4 linked regions of the Xenopus tropicalis genome follow. The protein of the gene in region 1 interacts with the protein of each later gene in a pairwise test. Links are inferred from orthologs where the notes say so. Each region holds a gene or a part of one and is shown in the gene's direction. Other genes may lie near its edges.

Evidence for each region.
Region 2: the proteins of prkar2b (region 1) and prkaca interact in binary tests that used the Homo sapiens proteins (3 or more experiments, as listed by UniProt). The link is inferred for Xenopus tropicalis from reciprocal best matches to the Homo sapiens genes PRKAR2B and PRKACA.
Region 3: the proteins of prkar2b (region 1) and taf12 interact in binary tests that used the Homo sapiens proteins (3 or more experiments, as listed by UniProt). The two-hybrid records come from large-scale screens. The link is inferred for Xenopus tropicalis from reciprocal best matches to the Homo sapiens genes PRKAR2B and TAF12.
Region 4: the proteins of prkar2b (region 1) and kif5b interact in binary tests that used the Homo sapiens proteins (3 or more experiments, as listed by UniProt). The two-hybrid records come from large-scale screens. The link is inferred for Xenopus tropicalis from reciprocal best matches to the Homo sapiens genes PRKAR2B and KIF5B.

Annotation. Positions count from the first base shown.
Region 1 is NC_030679.2:76,691,201-76,696,963, reverse strand, and holds the start of prkar2b (cAMP-dependent protein kinase type II-beta regulatory subunit), read left to right. Parts: upstream 1-2,259; 5' UTR 2,260-2,658; coding exon 2,659-2,926; intron 2,927-5,763. UniProt on the Homo sapiens protein: Regulatory subunit of the cAMP-dependent protein kinases involved in cAMP signaling in cells. Type II regulatory chains mediate membrane association by binding to anchoring proteins, including the MAP2 kinase.
Region 2 is NC_030679.2:134,179,312-134,184,784, reverse strand, and holds the end of prkaca (cAMP-dependent protein kinase catalytic subunit alpha), read left to right. Parts: intron 1-57; coding exon 58-184; intron 185-411; coding exon 412-507; intron 508-1,264; coding exon 1,265-1,387; intron 1,388-1,523; coding exon 1,524-1,688; intron 1,689-3,540; coding exon 3,541-3,666; 3' UTR 3,667-4,315; downstream 4,316-5,473.
Region 3 is NC_030678.2:78,440,099-78,444,132, reverse strand, and holds the end of taf12 (transcription initiation factor TFIID subunit 12), read left to right. Parts: exon of another isoform or gene 1-204; coding exon 205-319; exon of another isoform or gene 320-1,178; coding exon 1,179-1,267; exon of another isoform or gene 1,268-2,614; coding exon 2,615-2,650; 3' UTR 2,651-2,876; downstream 2,877-4,034. Other genes in the region: rab39a (ras-related protein Rab-39B), read right to left, coding at 3,050-3,455. UniProt on the Homo sapiens protein: The TFIID basal transcription factor complex plays a major role in the initiation of RNA polymerase II (Pol II)-dependent transcription.
Region 4 is NC_030682.2:22,995,767-23,000,750, forward strand, and holds part of kif5b (kinesin-1 heavy chain), read left to right. Parts: intron 1-3,840; coding exon 3,841-3,914; intron 3,915-3,998; coding exon 3,999-4,103; intron 4,104-4,984. UniProt on the Homo sapiens protein: Microtubule-dependent motor required for normal distribution of mitochondria and lysosomes. Can induce formation of neurite-like membrane protrusions in non-neuronal cells in a ZFYVE27-dependent manner.

The DNA of each region.
Region 1 (5,763 bases):
TGTCCAACATGTGATTTATAGCACTACTTGGGTTTTAGGGTCAGTAACCAGAAAACAGAATGTGAAGCTATATTATTACAATTATGTTTCTATTTATCTTTCCTCTATTAGGGCTTTTACATACAAGCATTTTTTACTATGTTTCCCTGCGCTGGATCATTCATACATTCCAGCACAGGGAAACACAGGAAGAATCGCAGCCTACTCGTTTGTGCTCACTGAAATGCAAGGGCAGACCGCAGGTAGAACGCATCAATCTTTCTGGCTGGTGCTTGAAGCTAGCCTGAAGTTAATAGAGAGGTAAACACAAGAAACTTAGGTGTTAAATCAGACAAGTGCAGTGGCCTATACCAACATACAGCAATTAGCTTTTTAGTCAATTAAAAGTTAGAAAATAATAGCAAAGATCTGTTTGGTTGCTATAAGTAACTGCACTGAGGAAATGTAGCACATCTGGTAAATCAGTTGCAATAGCTTCTTTGTGCCTGAGACCAACAGAATGATTTTTCATTTGTCAGTAAAACATTTGTACGGCCTTCTGGCTGTTCACCCTTTTGTTGTGATGGTTAGGCCAGGCAATAGCTATCATGGCTATGATGAGGGCATTCATTTCAGTACCTAATGCCATAATCCACCTACTGGCAAACACCAGCCAGAGAGATTGTGCAGCTATCACTGCAAACCTGCACTTGATAAACAAATAGAACTATTGCTCCAGCTAATGAATAATAATCTTTACTGTATAGAACTGATGGTTTGGTAAGTACTACCATCTATTCTTGACAATATTTGTCCATATGGTGATCATTTTTTACATTATACTCAACAGTTAAGCAGTTTTTCCTTTAAAAGATTATTTAGGGAAAATGCGGCTTTAGAGAATTAATGTTACAGGGATACTGTCATGATTTTTATGGTATACTTTTTATTTCCAGATTACATTATTTACATAGCAAATAATTCACTCTACCATTTAAAATGTTATTCTTGAACCAACAAATGTATTTTTTTGTTTTAATATTGGTGTGTAGGCAGCAATCTCAGTGCACTGTGCCTGAGTCTGAGCTTTCAGAAGAAGACAGGGCTACACATTAGAACTGTAACTGGAGGAGTCCCAAGATGCACTTGGATTTCCTACTACTGAGTGCTATTCTGATATCTAGTGGGAGCTTCTGTCTTGCTACCTTCTACTGATTGGCTGCTGGGAGGGGGGGGGGTCATATCACTCCAATTGCAGCTCAGCAGTAAAGTGTGACTAAAGTTTTTCAGAGCACAGGTCACATGGTTGTGGAACCCTGGGAAATGAAGAATATGGCTAGCCCCATGTGAAATTTCAAAATGAAATTTAAAAAAACCTGAGTTTATAAAAAAATGGATTTAAATGCAGGGTTTTTCTGGTGAAGAAAACACCTGTTTCCCATGACAGTATTCCTAAAAAAGCCAAGGAAATCCTGAAAATGTGATCTAAAATATGCAGATTTTTATTGTATAGTTGGAAAATGTGTATTTTTATGTGTGGATTTAACTTAATATATTGGCTGCTTTACAAACTACTGGCTAGTAGTACTGGCTAGATTGAGGCTAATAAAGATATACTTTCCAGGACAGTACAAAAATAGATTTTCAAGCAAATATATATATATATTTATAAATAATTAAAAGCTGGTCATACAGAGACAACATATTCGTTGTAAGAAAATGGGGATACCAGTAGGAAAAATCAAAGGAAAGCGAGGGCCTTTCTAGTGAAGACAATTAGAGCCTTATAGTGTAGTATAAATAAAACAGACTGCTGCTGATAGTCTGCCATCTCTGAGCCCTTAACCCACTTTCATTCTTTGCTGAAATCGGAGTCCCCTTCGGCCACATTGGTCGTTTTCTGCGCAGCATCCCCGCCAGTCTGTATCCGCACCTGCTCCACACGCAATGCTTGAGATGGAGGGTTGCCATGGTTTCCGGTGGTCACATGCACGCTGCTGGCTCCCATTTGATTGACAGGCGGCTGCGGGCGGGAGGCGGAGGATGCAGCACTTTGTATGCTCAGTTGTATTTGGTCTGCGCCTTGTGTGAGCTTGGGGGCCTGTTAATCCGGGAGAAGTGACAAGGACAACACAACAGCTTCACCATCTTCCCCGGAAACGATAAGGGTTCGCAGCGCAGCCTAAGCGTGCCTCTCATACCCTTATTGCCGCCGACTGCGGTGTCGCCACAAGTGAGAGCCTGGGGAGAGCCAGAGCCACAGCGTGGAAGAGGGATTCATCATCATCGCTGTAATTAAAAAGAAATCTTTTAAACCAGTGCCCACTTGCATGTTTGTATTGTCGGGCAGGGACCCGGTGCCTCAGGCCGCTGGACCTCGTACACCCTGCTGCCCTATGATCACTGCCTAATTGCCCCCCCCTCTTTAGCGTGTCATGTGGGCTCGCCTAACTTTCCTGTCACTTAAACCCCATCACCTGCTTGAATGTTAATAATGCCAGTTCATACGGATGAGCAGCGCCTTTTATTCTCATGTCGGTACCCCTGCATTATGCTCTATGAGTAGCATGGTACCCCATAGTAGCCAGCTCCCTGTGCCTACTGGCAGCCAATAGAGATCTCCCAGTGACATACTGCTGCTGTGCACCAAATCCAGCTTCCTGCCCCGCTACCCCAGGAATGAGTATAGAAATCCCGGAGGGGCTGACGGAGCTACTGCAGAGCTTTACCGTGGAGGTGTTACGAAAACAGCCCGAGGACCTGCTGGAATTCGCCTTGCAGTACTTCACCCAGCTCAAGCAGTCTAAGAGTCAGGGCGGCCCCCTCAGCCATGGCATGGAATTACCTTTCAGGCTCACTAAAGGGGTCATTTTCGCCGAGGAGCCCATGCAGACTGACTCTGAAAACGGCGAGGAGGAGGAGGATGACGATGAAGAGGATTTTGTGGGTATGTGCTAATGAGGAACCCTGCAGTTCAGGTGTCCGTCCTTTTGTCCCTGCCTTCCATATGCAGGGCATAGGTTTTTCCACCCTTTTCTCTCAAGCTGTGACTGAACTAAAATTGCCAGCTGTAAGGGAATTCTCGTGGTGGTGGTTTCCCCACAAAACTCACTCACACCGTATTGTTATTATATGTTTACGTTTTAGGGGACAGAACTAAGGCCACACCATACTGTGTATAAATTACAGAAACAAAACCTATATTTTCTCAGTCATATTTATAAAGATAAGATGCCTCATGGTTAGATATTATTTTATGGTACTATAACAAACACCTAACCTTTTGCTTGATCAGCGACATTTATATGAGATCCACAGTATATACATTCTTTGCCCATCCAGGCAACATCATGAGAATATTAAATAGTGCTCTTGTTATTGTAGTATTACTATAGCTGTCCTTCACCTATTGATGTCTCTACTCTCCCCTCTATTGTCCTAAGACACAGCATTATTAAAAACTGAAATCTATGTCAACTGCTCTGAGAATTAGAACAAAATATGATATTTTTAAAGTTACAGCAAATATTTGTAGTTGCTTAAGGCTAAAGACAGACATGGCAGATAAATGCCAGTGACTTCATAAGGTATTACCTTTTTTGCTGTTTCCTACAATCACATTTACCTGTCGCTGCGCACACAGGTGGGCATCAGATGCTGAGGCTGAAGTCTGCCCCGTGGGTCAGGTGGGTGTAATTGAAGGGAATATCAGGAGAAAAGGGCAGTACAGGCAGGCTTGTGCTTTTCTACCAGAGGAGGACCAATACATGTCATTACCTTAAAGGAATGTATTTTATTCTGCTGCCTTTCAATCATAGGATTTATTTGTCTGTGAAGACCCAGGTAATTGTTTCAATTTCTACTAAGAGTCCCAAAAAATTAAGAAAATGAAAGAGACACATTCATCTTGCGTGTTAGGACAAGGGTACTTTGGGATCCTTGTCAGCCAGTTTCCACCTAAAAAACAGCTAGTGTGCCTTTTCTTACCACAGTAGTCTGACAAACATCAGTCCTTGTGCATTTACCTGATTGCCAATTACTATAAGAGGAATAAGATGGAATTGGCTCTTTAAGAGATATGGGGAGAGGGCCTTGGTATGTCAAGTAGTTCTAGAATGGAGGCCCATAGGAGAGTTTTTATAATGCAGGGTAGCAGGGCTAGAAATAGGAGTAGGCAGAAGAGTTATGTGCCTCTGGCATAGTTAAGAGGTGTGACTAGGTGAGATAGGAGTGGTTGATGGGTGAGGGAGAGCCCAGACAGTGGCAGGGTTGGTGTGCAGAAGAAATTGTGAGTGCAGGACCAAATAGTCTTTCCTTGGGCGTCAATAGGACACTTGCTAAGTTCTAAGAAATAGCTTGGTCCATGTAACTATCAAAACTTTATTACTCTAAATAAAGTGTAAAATGATTTTGTTTATTAATTAAAAAACAACAACAACAAATATGCAGTTTGCAGATGGCACAAAACTATGTAGGCCAATTAATTGTATTCAGGATATGGCATCCTTGTGCATGATATGGGCAATCTGGGTAAGTAAATGGCATATGAAATTTAGTGTTAAATGTAAGTTTATGCGGCTGTGATTTAAAAATTTGTAAGCCATTTATACCTGAAAAGGGACCATATACCCCCATCATTTTAATATGAACTCATTCAGTTGGGCTTATGTTAAAAAGGAGCATAAACACTATCTAAATAAGGATGCATTTTAAACACTTACCTGATTCTACATATTGAAAGAAAACCTTTATAGCCAACCTATATTCAACTGAACCATTTCTTCCCCCCATAGGCTCACATTTTTATACAACCTTTTTCTATTGTGAAGTGATGGATTCTGGGACTTGAAGTGCTTCTGCTTTCAAGAGAATCTGTACATCACCCACTTAGCACAAGGGACAAGAGAGCTGAAGATATACACCAAAGGAAGGAAAAATAAAATATGTTGCCTACGGAAAAGAAAAATGTAAGGGTTTCTGTAACAGTGACCAGTGAGGAGGGCCTACACGAAATATGAAGCATTAAAAGATAAAAAGTGTGAAAGATGGGGTAGCTAGAAAAGAGGAATGGGGAAAAGTGAAGATCATTAAAATGGGTAAGAACAGTGCAAATTATTGTACAGTGGAGAAAATGTGTCTGGGCAAGAAGGCACAAGTGAGAATGTTAAAAGTTGGGGGGAAAAAGAAAAGGTATGTGGGGAACAGGAAGAAAGACTAGTGAAGAGAAGAGAAAGACAGAGGCGCATACCAAGGGGCTGATTTACTAATCCACGAATCCGAATCCCGAATGGGAAAAAACCTGATTGGAAAGGAACATTTTGCGACTTTTTCGTATTTTTTGCTATTTTTTTGTCGCCGTCACGACTTTTCCGTAGCCGTTACGACTTGCGTGAATTGTCGCAACTTTTTCGTAGCCGTTACAACTTGCTCGTATATTGTCGCGACTTTTTCAAATTGAGCGCTCGTAAACGATGATTTTGGAAGCCTTCCATAGGACTCAATGGCACTCTGCAGCTCCAACCTGGCCCAAGGAAAGTCACGATACTGAAGCTTGAATGAATCTGAAACTTTCGTACTCGGCGCGACGGCTACAAAAAAGTCGTGACAATTCGCGCAAGTCGTAATGGCTACGAAAAAGTTGTGGCAATTTACAAAAAGTCGTAATGGCTACGAAAAAGTCGCAACAATTTATGAAAAAATCGCAAAATACCGATCATTACGAAAAAAATGCATTCGGACGCTTTTCGGACGTTCGTGGATTAGTAAATGTGCCCCTAAATGTAC
Region 2 (5,473 bases), about 57 Mb from region 1:
ATTGGGGTATTGGTACATATCATTACGCCTAACGTTTTGTTTCTCCTGTCCCCACAGTGAACCTCATGCACGCTTCTATGCATCCCAGATTGTATTAACTTTTGAATATCTGCACGCCCTGGATCTTATATACAGAGACTTGAAACCCGAGAATCTCCTCATAGACCAGCAGGGATACATCCAGGTAATACACCCCTTGTGCCAGCAGATGGCAGCTTTCTTACAGGTCCCCAGTGTGTATACAATAAACCTATAACTGTATATGTTTGGTACTTTTGCCATTATGAGGGCCCAGGGCATGTACCCACTGCTCTTGCTAAACCCATTTATAATAACCTTCAGTAATGAACTGGGGGCATGGTACGACTTGGGAAGCCAGATATGGAATCACACTTATATGCTGTTTTCCAGGTGACGGATTTTGGCTTTGCAAAGAGAGTGAAAGGGAGGACCTGGACCCTGTGTGGGACACCAGAGTACCTGGCGCCAGAAATAATCCTTAGCAAGGTGAGTATGACCCTCCCTGTAGGGTATTTTCTTGGCTTTATGCTCGGAGCTCCCCCCTACATTCCTTTATGTAGCTCAAACTGAGTCTGATAGTGGAGATCCAGCTGTTATGGCAGCGTGCCCTGGGCAGTGGGGCAGTAGGGCTGAGACTGATTTACTCGGCAGGTTAGAAGGCCTGAGAGGATTTTCTTGGTTTTCTCCCACAATGCCCGCTACATCTGACACTGGCATCTTTTGCTTCCATGCCAGCTCCTTATACTCCTGGTCACAGAAATGTATGGGAAAAAATGAATGACATCCCAGGCCCTGGCGTATTTAGGGCCTTCCATATTAAAGACATTGGTTTATCAGCCTCATACCCAACACTACAGTCATGGTGCAGATTCGGTGATAGAACCCACAGCTAAATTGCTTGCCTTCAAAGTATTCTGCACTTTTACATTAGGACTTGTATTACATAGATGGGGTTTTAGCAGTTATTTAGTGCCCAAATGAACAAAGCCCTGGCTTATGAGAGTCAGACAAATTAGGGGACATTAGCCTAACTCCATATAACAATAAGCTGGTCTTTCCAGGAAGTCCACATTCCCCCATATTTCAGAGACTGGAGGGCTTAGAAGCTGCCTAGGAATTCTTGGCCATCTCTGCAGCACTGGCCAACCCTATAACAGAAAGTCTTGTAACACAGACACATTATGGTGTAAAGATGCCTTATATCTCTCGGAGCTTATATGACTGTTTTTGTTATGTCTTTCAGGGTTATAATAAGGCAGTGGATTGGTGGGCCCTAGGAGTCCTGATTTATGAGATGGCTGCGGGGTATCCTCCCTTTTTCGCTGATCAGCCCATTCAGATCTATGAAAAAATAGTATCGGGGAAGGTGAGTCCCAGCTTGTTCCTATATCTTGCTCGGAGCAGCCATGTTCTTTGATCTTTTCTTTTCATCCTCTTCCACCCCCCATAGGCTCAAATTCATTTCTTTCTCACGTTCTTTTCTTTCGCTGTTATCCCCGCAGGTCCGGTTCCCCTCTCACTTTAGCTCCGACTTGAAGGATCTCCTCAGAAACCTTTTGCAAGTCGATCTGACTAAGCGATTTGGGAATTTGAAGAATGGTGTGACAGACATCAAGGGACACAAATGGTTCAGTACCACGGACTGGATTGCAGTCTACCAGAAAAAGGTGCCCGGGGGGAATGGGATGGACACGGGATTATGGTATTGCTGCCGGGGAAGCTCAGTGGAAGGAGAGACCTTTACTGTCTGGTTTTGGTAGGCTTGTTGGGTAGGGATGTACTTGTACTCAGGAATGTCCAATCGGCAACTACCAGCATCCACCGACAGCCAAACTGTGAGGGTATTCTGGGAGTTCTGACTGAGCAGCGGAAGGGGAACCCTGATTGGACATTCCTGAAATGGGAAAGTATTTTATTAACAGCAGTTTGGTGTCTAGGGAGGAACCATGACCCTCTTCTTGCAAACACCAAATCTATTTCTGCCTCTGCTTGAGTCTCCTAATCTTAAAGTGATACTGACACCAGAAATGAAACGTTTTTTACATCTATCATAACACTGCCTTTGCATGCTATTTATAATTTTGCTATAAAAGTATTTCTCTGATGCTTTTACATTCCCCACTTGATCCCCCACGTTCCTCTATGAGGGGGCGGCCATATTGGTGCAGCAGGAGTCGGTTAGCATTAGAAGCTGTAACTGACAGGTTGAGAGGGACAGTCAGGTTGGCAAAACAGTCAGGTTTAGGAACAACAAGTAACAATTACTTATAGAAGCAGCCCTATCAGCAAAAAATGATCAACATGACCTATAGGTAAATTTTTATGTAGATTCATATTTCAAAAAGTAGTTTTTTCGGGTCAATATCACTTCAAGTAAAGTCCTTTTTTAATAGTTAAAGGGAAAATATATAGTGTACCCCCTATTGTAAAATATAAGGATATTATCACCGAGAGAGCTCCATGATCATATAAAAGCATGAAGGCTGAGTGCTTATATACAGGTCATGGAACTCCCAGGTGACTTATGTTATTTTCTAACAGGGGGTACATTATTATAATACACCAGTTTCAGGAAGTCATGTGACAGGAACTCTGCATGATGCATTATGTATTTCAGGTCTTGCTTCAACAATAGCCTTGTTACAAACACTTGTGCCTAATAAGCAGGTGTTGGAGGGGTAGGTGTGCTGGTTGTGATGTCATATTAAATTACCAATGGGAGGCGGGGAGAGCAGGATAGGTGTCAGCCTGTTCTGTCATCAGCAGGACAAAATAACGGCTAATTATAGAGACACTTAAAGAGATACTAACACAGAAATGAAACCCTTTTTACAATTGTCATAACTAGGGATGCACCAAACCCCCCGAAGACGTTTTTTGGTTTGGCCGAAGCCGAATACTTTGAAAATAGGCTGGATTGGCCCGAATCCCAAACTGAATCCGGGATTCGGTGCATCGCTAGTCGTAACACTGCCTTTGCATACTATTTATAATTTTGCCTTAATGTATTTGCCTGATGCTTTTACATCACACACATTACATACATAAGCAGTCCTATCAGCAAAAAAATGACCAACACAACCTACAGATAACAATGTACATTAATAATTTGAAAAGTATTTTTTTTTTTTTAGTGTGTGTATCACTTTAAGGATTAGCTGAGAAGTATCCATTGAGCTGTGTCCGTAATGCTTTGCTATTATCCCTAAGCGATGCGTAATGCAGCATAGTAAGCCCTTTACCAGACGAATGTCTTTATTATCACAGAGCCAATCAGAATGTGCGGTGTTGTTTCCAGCTCTCAGTTCCTGTGCCCGCGGCACGGCTGTAGGGAAATGCCAGATAGTTGGGGGGGGGTGCCAGGGTGCCACCGTGAACGTTGGTGCTTTAGGTGCTACTCTTTCTCCCACCCCTTCTGTTGCCCAAGCTTAGAGATGAGGAATGGTGTTTACCCAGACTCCCTCACTTCCTGTATAAAATTCCCTAATTTTTCTTTTTCCCCCCCCCCCCCCCCCCCAGGTGGAAGCTCCCTTCATCCCTAAATGTAAGGGTCCCGGAGACACAAGTAATTTTGATGACTATGAAGAAGAAGAGATCCGAGTTTCAATCACAGAGAAGTGCGCTAAGGAATTCTCTGACTTCTAATTTGCACCGGGAAAGGCGGAGCAGTCACCAAACACTCCCCCCAAGCAAGAGAGAGCGTTGGCGCGAGCACCACTGACAGGCACACAACCACCTCTTCCCTTTCACACTACCCTCCTTCCAAGCTTTTAATTAGTGGTGCAGATCAGACATGGCGGCCATCCTGTTTTATCTTGGATCTGGTGGTGCTGGTTCTGATTGGGCCTGGAGATCCCCAAGTCTCTCTCTCCCCCACTTCCCCACACTTTTGTTTCTCTCTCTGACAGATTTGAGGGGCCAAGAATTATTTAAACATGTGACTGGTTCCTCTGGGGTAGAGTCAGAACCTTGGGGGCAGAGCCTCAGCCCTCAGGGGGCGGGGCCTGGTTTCTTTTTTTTAACCATTTTCATCTGAGCAAGCCGGCCACTGGTTTTTATTGATTAATTGACATAGTATATAAACGTCGAACTGTTTTAATCTGAACCTCTTCCTCCCCCCATCAGCCTTCTCTTTCTCCATAACCCATTGTAGAAGGATTTTTAAATTCAATGTGCCAGTTTTACCCAAAAAAAATCTCCATTTTTTTTTTTTTTTGTCTTTAACCCTATGTTTCAGCATCCGTGGTGTCTTTCTCTTGTCCTTGATAACTTTTAAGAAAAAAAAAAAAAAAAATTCCCGACCCTCTGCTCTGATACTAAAGCTAGAAATCCAGTCCTTGCTATGAATTGCATCACTTGAGCGTAACCACTCTCGGGGCGTTTCCGGTTGGACTTGGCCGTCGTTACGCCTTACATTCTTCCTGGGGGGGGTACAAGGAGAGGCAGCGCAGCACAATTTTCCCTTTACGCCTCAGTATTAATCGCATTTACCTGAGCAGGTTCTATCCGGGTGTCACATGGTTAGCGAGAGCCAATGAGACTGACGTTGTCACATGACGTAATTAATGGGCACAACATTCCGTATTGGTGCTGTGACCGGATAGCGGCCATCTTAGTCTCGGTGTTGGGGAGTTGAAGCCATTGAAGTGCTTTCTGAATGGTTTCCCTCCATGTTAAATGCTTATTCTCCATCAGATCAGAAGGAGCAGCTAAATGGGTGGGGCCTGAGAAAGTTCTATATATTTATATATGTGGGTGCATATAGCCTTTACGGATTTGCCTATACCATGTGACGCGTTCATGTTGGATTGTGGGTAGGCAGAGGGTTTTCCTTCGGGCAGACATTAGGAATGAGCGATTGCAATTGGTGGCTTCTGCACCCAATAAAGCGCCTGATTTATAACTGCAGCCTTGCATAGTTTCCCTTTAATAAAAGATTGGACGGTGACGTTTGTGTCCATTCCCCCCCCGTGGCTTCTGCGATGATATTCAGCCAATCACTGCTCAGCGGGTAGAATGTGCCGGGCTACAGGAGGAGAGTACAGCAGCCTCTATCCTCTGTGGCCCTTCTAACCCTAATTCTTTACATCACGTGTCTCTTGATCTTCCTTTAGTTTTTATATGAATGGAATGCTATTATAATGTAACGTGCACAGCACTTGTGTGTGTGTGGGGGGGGCGCTCAGCGCAGGCCAATGAAAGACGGGCTCGTTAGGGGGTGACGCTGCGTATACGGATCCCTGAGGCTCTGCTTTTATACAGGGGCTAATTCTGAGGGCCTCCTACGGCGTAGATTGTCAGCTGTGGGACATATTGGGGTGCCAATAGTTGCACCTCTTTAATAACTGAAGTGCCAACATTTGGCTTCTGCTACCCTAAACTATTTCATGTAACGTTCTTCTATAATCTATGGAATCTGGCCGGGGCCCGGCACCTGTCGGCCTTCCACCCA
Region 3 (4,034 bases), on another chromosome or scaffold:
ATTTTTGAGCTACTGCTTGATACATTTTCTCAAGTCCTGGAGTGCCTGCCATCTTCTAAATTTTGGATTTCCTTATGGCCCCCTCAAGCTGAAGGTCTGGGGCGTGAGCACCCAGGCCCATCTATACCATCGGTGAGCATTCAACCAATATTTGACTTTAAGAGCATAGTTTCCATTTGTGTTTATCTTGCTCTGTCCACATAGATGCTTCTACAGATCGCAGATGATTTCATTGAGAGTGTGGTATCTGCAGCCTGCCAGCTTGCCCGACACCGCAAATCCAACACTTTAGAAGTTAAGGATGTACAGCTTCATCTTGGTATGTTAACCATAACCATATGATGCCAACTTTGTATTTTGTTTAATTCTGCTGTCCCACTTGGATAAGATACACATGAGCAGCTTTTTCTCAATATGTATAAAAACCCTGTCATGAGCTAAGATGAATCTGTGCAAAAGTGGGATTAAATCAATATAAAAGTCAGCAAAAACACATCACACATCACACTTTCCTAAATAAATATTAGTGAAGATTTTCTGTGTATTAGTGTGCATGCACTGGCACAAGGGATCCTTGGGAAAAGCAGTCAAGATTTTTATTGTCTATAATTTTCATGAATAAATATATGTGGGGGGGGGGGGTTGTCACTTCAAAATCTGAACCCACTGCCTTTACCCTTTATTTTTTCTAGCAGGAGTCCATTATTCAGAGGGGTTGTATGTGTACTAGTAATTCAATTATCTACCTCAAAAGACTAAACATGGAGTAGTTTAAATTTCCCTGTTTGCCCTGTTTAACAAAAAACATTGATCTTTCATGATTAAAACATTAGGCGAAAAGTATGTTCATTGCAAGCTCTATTTATTATGCTCTTGTTGAATGGGAGTATACTGGCCCTTTAATAATAACATTAATAATGTTTTTATCTAAATTACAATGTCACCTGCTGGTGCAGCTTAAGAATTACACCACTTATAAATCAGATTCAGAGTACAAAAAAAAGTACAGTGTTATGATTGTTTTTTCTTTCCTTATTTTTTTCTCCCTCCTCCCTTATTATGATAATGTTAAATAGAGAGAGCCTTCCTTCTTGATTATTAAGTATATGACACGGGCATCAGATGTAAAACCAAGCATACAAGTCTGAGATGTTGAATTTCTGCTCCTATTTACACAGAGAGACAGTGGAACATGTGGATTCCAGGCTTTGGTTCAGAAGAAATTCGGCCCTATAAAAAGGCTTGTACTACTGAAGCACATAAACAGGTAATGTGGCTGTCCATTTTCAAATAGTGTGCTTTTTTCATTTGATCCTTTTGTGACTTTTATCCAGTCCAAAGTATAAACCTATAATTTGGCATAAGATGTATGGCCCTTCAGAGGACATATGGTTAGTGCTTGGATCCATGCCTTTGAGGGTGCTATCAATTCCAGTGGCAGCGTAAGCATGTGTGTCTGGAGCTTCAGTTGGAGTAGCATATGAGAACTGAATGTATAGTTAAACACTTGCAGTATAGTTTTAGGGTTATCAAGATCTAAATTAAATCGCCAGTAGACGTATTGGATTTGAGCGCCTAGGAAATAAAATATACATTTGGTAGGCCAAATCCTCTCACATTAGTTGAAAAGGTTGGTAAATACAGTGCCATACTCTGTGCCTTATTTCTCCAAATAAATTATAACTTATTTGTTTAATCATCTTACACCCCAAACATTAGATCCAATACACCCAAACAATTTGTTGGGGTGTATTCGATCTGAGATACCTTACACTGAAGGGTTGGCTAGAACTTTGGCTTGGATGTTTGCATTAAGAGTAAGAAATATGAATCCATATTACTTTTTGCCAGGTTTAAGGATAATGGTGGTCATGGCTTTAGAACATGAAGGGTGGCTAGAATCTTGGATACATTTTAAGTGAGTTAGAGAGAAACATGCTCTGATAGGGAACAAGTAAGAAAATCATATCCATCCATTATGGTAGAAGGTCAGTGTTGGCTTTGACTGGCAGTCTTGTTTAAGAATTGATGTGGAGAAATGACATGTAAAGGCTTATGTAACAGAAAATGGTGTACCCAAGGGTTATAATGGTGTACCCAAGCCTTTGTGGGGGTTTTTTAATTTATTTATTTATTAATTTTTTGTTGCTACCTTTGTTTTAATTTGCACAATGTTGCATTTTTACTTGCAAAGAACAAAAAAAGGCCAATCTGGGGGATGCAAAATTTTAAGTTGACTTCCCGATGACCACAGCCTGCTTACCTTGAATTCCAGGACAGTGTCCCTCTTCCTTTAAAAACATGGTGTTATGGTGCTGATATTTTTTAGAGGTGCAGTGGCTTCATCTCAGCTGCTCTTTCACGTGTTCAGCATTTGCCTGCCGTTGCCCAGGTTCGGCACATACACATTGCAACTAGCCATTGGTGCCATATTGAACACCTGGGAGAGCAGGCAAGGTGGGGCTGGCATACCTCTAAAGAACAATATCAGTGTCAGCATTTTCATTTTAATTTAACTTTAATTAAACTAGTTTTTTTTTTTTTTTTCAAATCAAATTGTTTTGTCTGTTTATGTTTACCTGCCTACTTACCATCCCCTCTGTTTTTCTAACAGAGAATGGCTTTAATTAAGAAAACACAAAAGAAATAAAATCCATTTGTGACTTTGGACTTCTGCAATCCCTTGCCATTCTGATCTTGACACCTTCAAACTGCCACAGATGACAGATGAGCGTGAAGGCAACCTCTTCAGAGAAGAGTCTAACTTTGGGGACAGAAAGTTTACAACCCTCTTGCTGGGAAAGGGTTAATTGGTCCCCTGACTACCTTTTGTATATACATAGGATTGTTTGTTTAATTAAACATGGCTGATGTAATTACTATTTCTACTGATTCTGTTTGTCCATTCATGGAAACAGTCCAGGTAAAAGTGAAGAGTGTTAAAGTGCTGATGGCATCAGTTCTGTCAAACTCCGGCAGTGAGATTAATACCAAAACTGCCATTAACAGGCACAATCACTCTCTGTTTTTTTTTTTTTTGGTTTTTTTTTCAACATGTGCATTTTGCTTCTTGGTTTTTCTGCATTTCTTTGTTTGTACAATAGGCCCCACTACTGTCATCTGTTGATACCTGGGCCTGCGAACGAGCAGCTCTAAGCAGTTCCCTGCACAAAAGTGAAAGTGCAGCAGACACATTGCTCCCTGTTCGGGCAGAGGTCTCTAAATAAGGAGCACTAAGATTTTCTGCTAGTCTCTGGGCCTCCTCCCGGGTTACCATTCGCTTCTCCTTCAGGTCATTCTTTGCTCCAAGCAGCATGAACACCATTGGTTTGGCTTGAGTCCGCTCAGTTACCTCCATATGCCATTCAGTGACATTATCAAAAGATTGCCGTGTGGTAAGATCAAAGAGAAGGAGAACCCCGGCAGCATTTCTGTAGTAGGAACGTGTCACAGCTCTGAAGACACAAAGAAAAAGAATGAACTGAAAGCTACTTGGCATACAGGAAGAGAGAAATCCATACAACACAGTCCATCTTAACAGTCAATAAAAAAAATGCAAGCATTGTATTCCAATTAATGACAATTTCAAAAATATTAATATTTTGAGGCCCTCTCCTTTCTCTGAAAAATGACAAAAGCTGAAATGCAGAAAGAAATAAGCAATTGTACTTTCAAATGCTAAAGTGCCCATCATCTTCTTTTCCCATTACGCCTCCTGACCATTAGCCTTTGTTTCTTCAGCAATAAAGAGGCATCTCAGAAGATAACGGGGCAGATCATCTCCAAAACACATATTCTTTTATAATAGTACACCACAAATACCAAATTTTATCAATTGCTTTTATGGAGCACTATCAGAAAGTAATGCAACTATTTGTTGCTTTGTTACAGACAGAAAAGGAATCAAGGTGAATGCCTAGTAGTGGCTAAAGCTGTTGCTGAGAAGTGAATGAATTCATATATTAAGTTTTAATACTTAGAGTGTAGGATTCCTGTCTTTGCTACCAGACTACATAAGCGGGTAGGGGAGTTAA
Region 4 (4,984 bases), on another chromosome or scaffold:
AGTAGAGGCCGGTGGATCGGCCGATTCTTGACTTGTGTTTATACGCAGACTGACAATCTGCCTCATGTGACACTAGCCTTAAGGTACCGTAGTTTCTAACTAATATTTCTGTGATTGTATAATTATACCTTTATATATGTAACTTTTGTTATAGATTTTCCTTTTTAGTCTAATAAAAAGCATTAAGCCAAATAATGTCATTCTTCTTGCTAGCAGGAGGGCCGCTGACCCTTCTGTCTATTGATTGCAGCAGGAGAAATGAGTAAGCACCAGTATAGAGCACTGGAAAACTAACTGCTCTATTGCAAGTACACACATTCCCGTTGCCTCCCATTCTGATTAGTAGACAGGAAAGCTGCTGGACCTGTTCATGCCCCTGGTTTTCATTATTTGCCTTTTGTTTTCTGCCTCTTTCCACCTTTCAAATGGGGTCACTGACCCCAACAGCCAAAAACTATTGCTCTGTAAGGCTACAATGGTATTATTATTGTTACTTTTTATTACTTATCTTTCCATGCAAGCCCTCTACTATTCATATTCCCATCTCTCATTTAAACCATTGCCTGATTGCTAGGGTAAATAAGACCCTAGTAACCAGATAGCTGCTAAAATACCAAATGGAGGGTTGCTGAACAAAAAGCTCAATAACCAAAAAAAACCCATAAAAAATGAAGACCAATTGCAAATTGTCTGAGAATATCAATGTCATCATATTAAAAGTTAATTGAAAGGCGAACTACCCTTTTAAATACAAATTAGCATTGGCCTTGTACAGTGGTATGAATATGCTGCAGTTTGATGTTCTGTCTCCGTACCATCTGAGTTAGGGAAAGGTGCAAAGCCATTGTATTGTACACAAAAACATAAGATTTAAGCCATGTGGTAGCTAGTTGTTTACACCTGTCTATACCAGCATGATGATTTCCCTTTAAGGGTAAAGACACGCGGAGCTACTAGTAACAGCTACTTGTCACGGCTACTAAACACCAGAAAATACCCTGCCATAGAGAATACTGAAAATTGCCTCTTCTTAAAACAGAGACCATTTGCCAGCAAATGATCAGCATTGTCTATTTTAGTAGCCACGGCAAGTAGCTGCTACTAGTAGCTCCATGTGTCTTCACCCTAAGGGAGCTCCTGTTAGTTGAAAACTGCACCGGCCTGGGGTAACTGATCGAGCGATCCTCTTCTATGTATGACTTGCATATGCACATTAGAGTGAAACTTAAACATGCTTTAAGCAGAATTCTTCTTACAAAGGATATAGTCAAAAGTGTTTAACCCACAGTGGGCTAACTGCAACTTTTTTTTCAAGTTAATTTGTATTGCTTATTTTTGGTTTTTGGGGGTGCAAAAGGAACTGAGTTTGTGTGCACAAGAACATAAGCATTTGATTCCCATTCTCCATACTAGAGACAAGAAGTAGTCAGCACAACAATTCGGAAATGTTTTCAGCACTGCACGTTTACCACGTTGGTGTTCAATAGGAAATTAAACTTGAAAAGCATTGCAGTTATTAATCCATAAAAATGTGTTTATTGCACACATAGGGCATTACAGCAATGTTCCTAGCCAATTCAGGCCTTTTATCAAGCCATTCTCCATATTATTATATAGTTATTTGTCAAATTGAAACCTAGGGTGCTGCTTGTGTAACTGATCTTTTCTATTGAAAGGAGCTGTATCAGTTCAGTGGTTTGTTGCAGTATGGGTATGATTATTTGTTAAATCTTGGTAATGTGCTTCCTTAGCAAGAGCTATACAAGCTTAGCAAAATGCTACTCCTCCAGTGCCACTCCCTAGCCCTGCTGTCACTCCCTGGAGGCTTCTAGGGCTTACTCTGCAATCCCATTGCGCACAACATGATGTAATGCTCCTGGTTATTTTGACTGCCTAATCTCCCATAGTTGGGTTTGTTGTTTAAAGGAGAACTAAAGATTAACAAAGAAGTAGGCTAAAAATGCAGCACATCATGTTTTGAAGTGCTGTGCCAGCCCAAGGAAACCTATATTATATAATTAATATAAATGTCATTATACAAAGCAGAGTAATTAATTCAGATTTTCAATACGTGGCAGCTCAGAAACCAGTGCATACAAATTAAATGACAAGCCCTGTAGCATCAGTTTATATGACAGGCCAGCCTAATTTTCTGCTTGATTTGAGAGATGCTGAAATGTTAGGCTGGTGCAGTTCAGTATTTGAAATATGGCATATCTGGTAGTTAGTCCTCCTTTAAGAGTTACAACCCATTTGTTGTAATTGTCTATTTAAAAATGCAACTGGGTAAAATAGACGGCGCAAAATAAAAAATATTTCTAATATAGTTAGGCAAAAAATGTAATCTATAAAGGCTGGACAGACCAAATGTCTAACATAATAGCCAGAACTGTACTTCCTGCTCTCTAACCTCTTAGTTAGTCAGTGACTTTAGGGGGTGCCACATGGGACATAACTGTTCAGTTAGTTTGTGAGCCCGTAGGTCAGATTCAAATGCAAACAAACTGAACAGTAATGTCCCATATGGCCCCCCTCAAGGCACTGATTGGTTACTGACAGCTTAGGGAGCTGTAAAGCAGGAAATAAAGTATGTTTGACATCTGCCCACTCCAGCATTTATATATTAAAATATTTTTGATTTTGCACAGTCTATTTTACCCAGTTTTATTTTTACACTGAACTGTTTCTTTAAAGAGAATCTGTACAAAATGTAATTTCCCCACACAGAGATAGATACAGCGTCACTGTACATTTTGTTTAGCTGGGCAAAGCGGTTTGCCACAAAATCATATCTGCCATGTGCTGTGGGCCAAAACGTGTATCATGGTGCAGAAGTTAATGGAAACATATCGCATACATGAAAATGAATATGGCCCAATCTCTTGGAAATAAACTTTCAAAATCCATTACCAATTCTTTACCTTTTCTGAAATCTAGTTACTTTTTTTAGTGTCTCTCTACATGCTGTAGTGTGAATAAGGGTATTGAGTATTTTATAAAAGTTCTGTTTTAGAAAAGAATTGATTATTCTTATAACTAAAGTATAATATTACTTCTTCTATAGCCCACCACAGTATTATGCTCTCCTGATGCTATTCCTGCGCCAGTCTTTTGTAAAATCACTTCCTACCTTTAGGCTGGTCCCAACAGGAGCATCCTGCACTCAAAACTATACTATACTCTGTTACTTGATCATTTTAACACACAGTTTATTTCACAACACAGAGGATCAGGGTAACACTTTCTTGATGTAACAGCCGACACATACGTCTTTTTCTCCCCCCCCTTTTTTTTTCTTTCTTTCCTTAATTCCTTTATTCATTTATACTCCCGGGTCCCCTCCCCTTCCCCTGTTTGATTTACAAAGGTTAGAAGCAAATTAATACTACTGTGGGCTCTGGGAGGCTCATGTGGCGCGACTCCTTCCGTCCAGACACACAAGCTTCCAACAGTATATACCCGCAGGCAATGTAAGATCTATGCATACATATGTCTGTTATTATAGATATATAAACCTGTATACATCCTGTAACTATGATTGCGTATTTCTATATTACTTGAATTGCTTTGCACAAATACGTTCAATAAACTCAAAAAATGAAACAATTTGGCCCATGTACTCAAGTATCTATTATTGAAATGGCAATGCCCCCTGAAGTAGTATGTCATGAAATAGTTAAAATGTGTGCCTTTTAATTTTGTCAGATGTTTAAAAATTGATGGGGAGGGGTAACTTGATACTTGGAAGTAATGTGCCCTGAAATAAAGTTGGTAATGTTGAATGGTGATTATTTATGTATACTTTATTCATTATTCATCCTTCCATTTGTATTTTGCTAGATGTTCTGGATGGATATAATGGCACAATATTTGCTTATGGGCAGACATCATCAGGAAAAACCCATACCATGGAGGTAAGACCCAGTCATTCACTGCTGGTAGTATTCATTGATAAAACTGTACTGATTTTATTCTGAACGTCTCTTAATTTTTTTCAGGGAAAACTCCATGACCCAGATGGAATGGGGATTATTCCCAGGATAGTGCAAGATATTTTTAATTATATTTACTCTATGGATGAAAATTTGGAATTTCATATAAAGGTAATACTGTCTGTATCAGCTGTAGTAGTGTGTTAAAGGAGACATATCCTATTAAAATTAAGAATGTACCAGGGAATTGTACTCCTCTAGATATAGAAGGATTGTGCTAAAAATGTTGTGTTTCGGACTGATTTATTGAGAAATTCCCCCCAAACCCCACTAGCCCCGCCCATCCGTTTCACTTCCTGCTGGCTGAATTCTCTGGATGTGCTGGGGAGCCGGCGGCCCTCCGTACACTGCCCTGTAGGATAGGAACCAATCAGCAGCTAGGCTGACCTGATAGGGAACTGAAGCCTGTCTGTGCTTGTGTGACTGCAGGGCTGTGATTGGCTCTCCCCCTCCTACTGTGCTTCTGGCAGGGACCGTTAGGACACGCCCACCCCTCATTTTAAACTCTGACAGAGAAGTGATAGGATCTACAGGGAGCTCCAATAAAGGGGCCATTTTTACAGATAGGATTAATTTTTTAGCACAAAGTGAAACCAGCACCATATATTATTCATAATTGCCTACAAAATTAGGGTTTTCCCATTTATCTCCTTTAATGTCTCCCATAATGCTTTGCCAGTTGGCTTAATGACTACATCACTGGGGAAGTCATGCAGAACCTATGGGTGTTATTTTTTATGACTGTAAACTGCTCAAATTGGTTGTAAATCTACCTGAACTCATGGCTAGCAGCCAGACAATCAGAACCACATCACCAGCATGGGGCAGCAGCAAATGATATTTTCAAACTGGACAGATCATCTGTAATATGACAGGACCGACCCCCCAACCTGACCATTGTGCCCAAACTGTTTTGGTCATGGAACTCCATGGTGACCTGTTTATCAATCTAGGGGGCATTACACATTATAGTGTGTATATTAAACTGTATA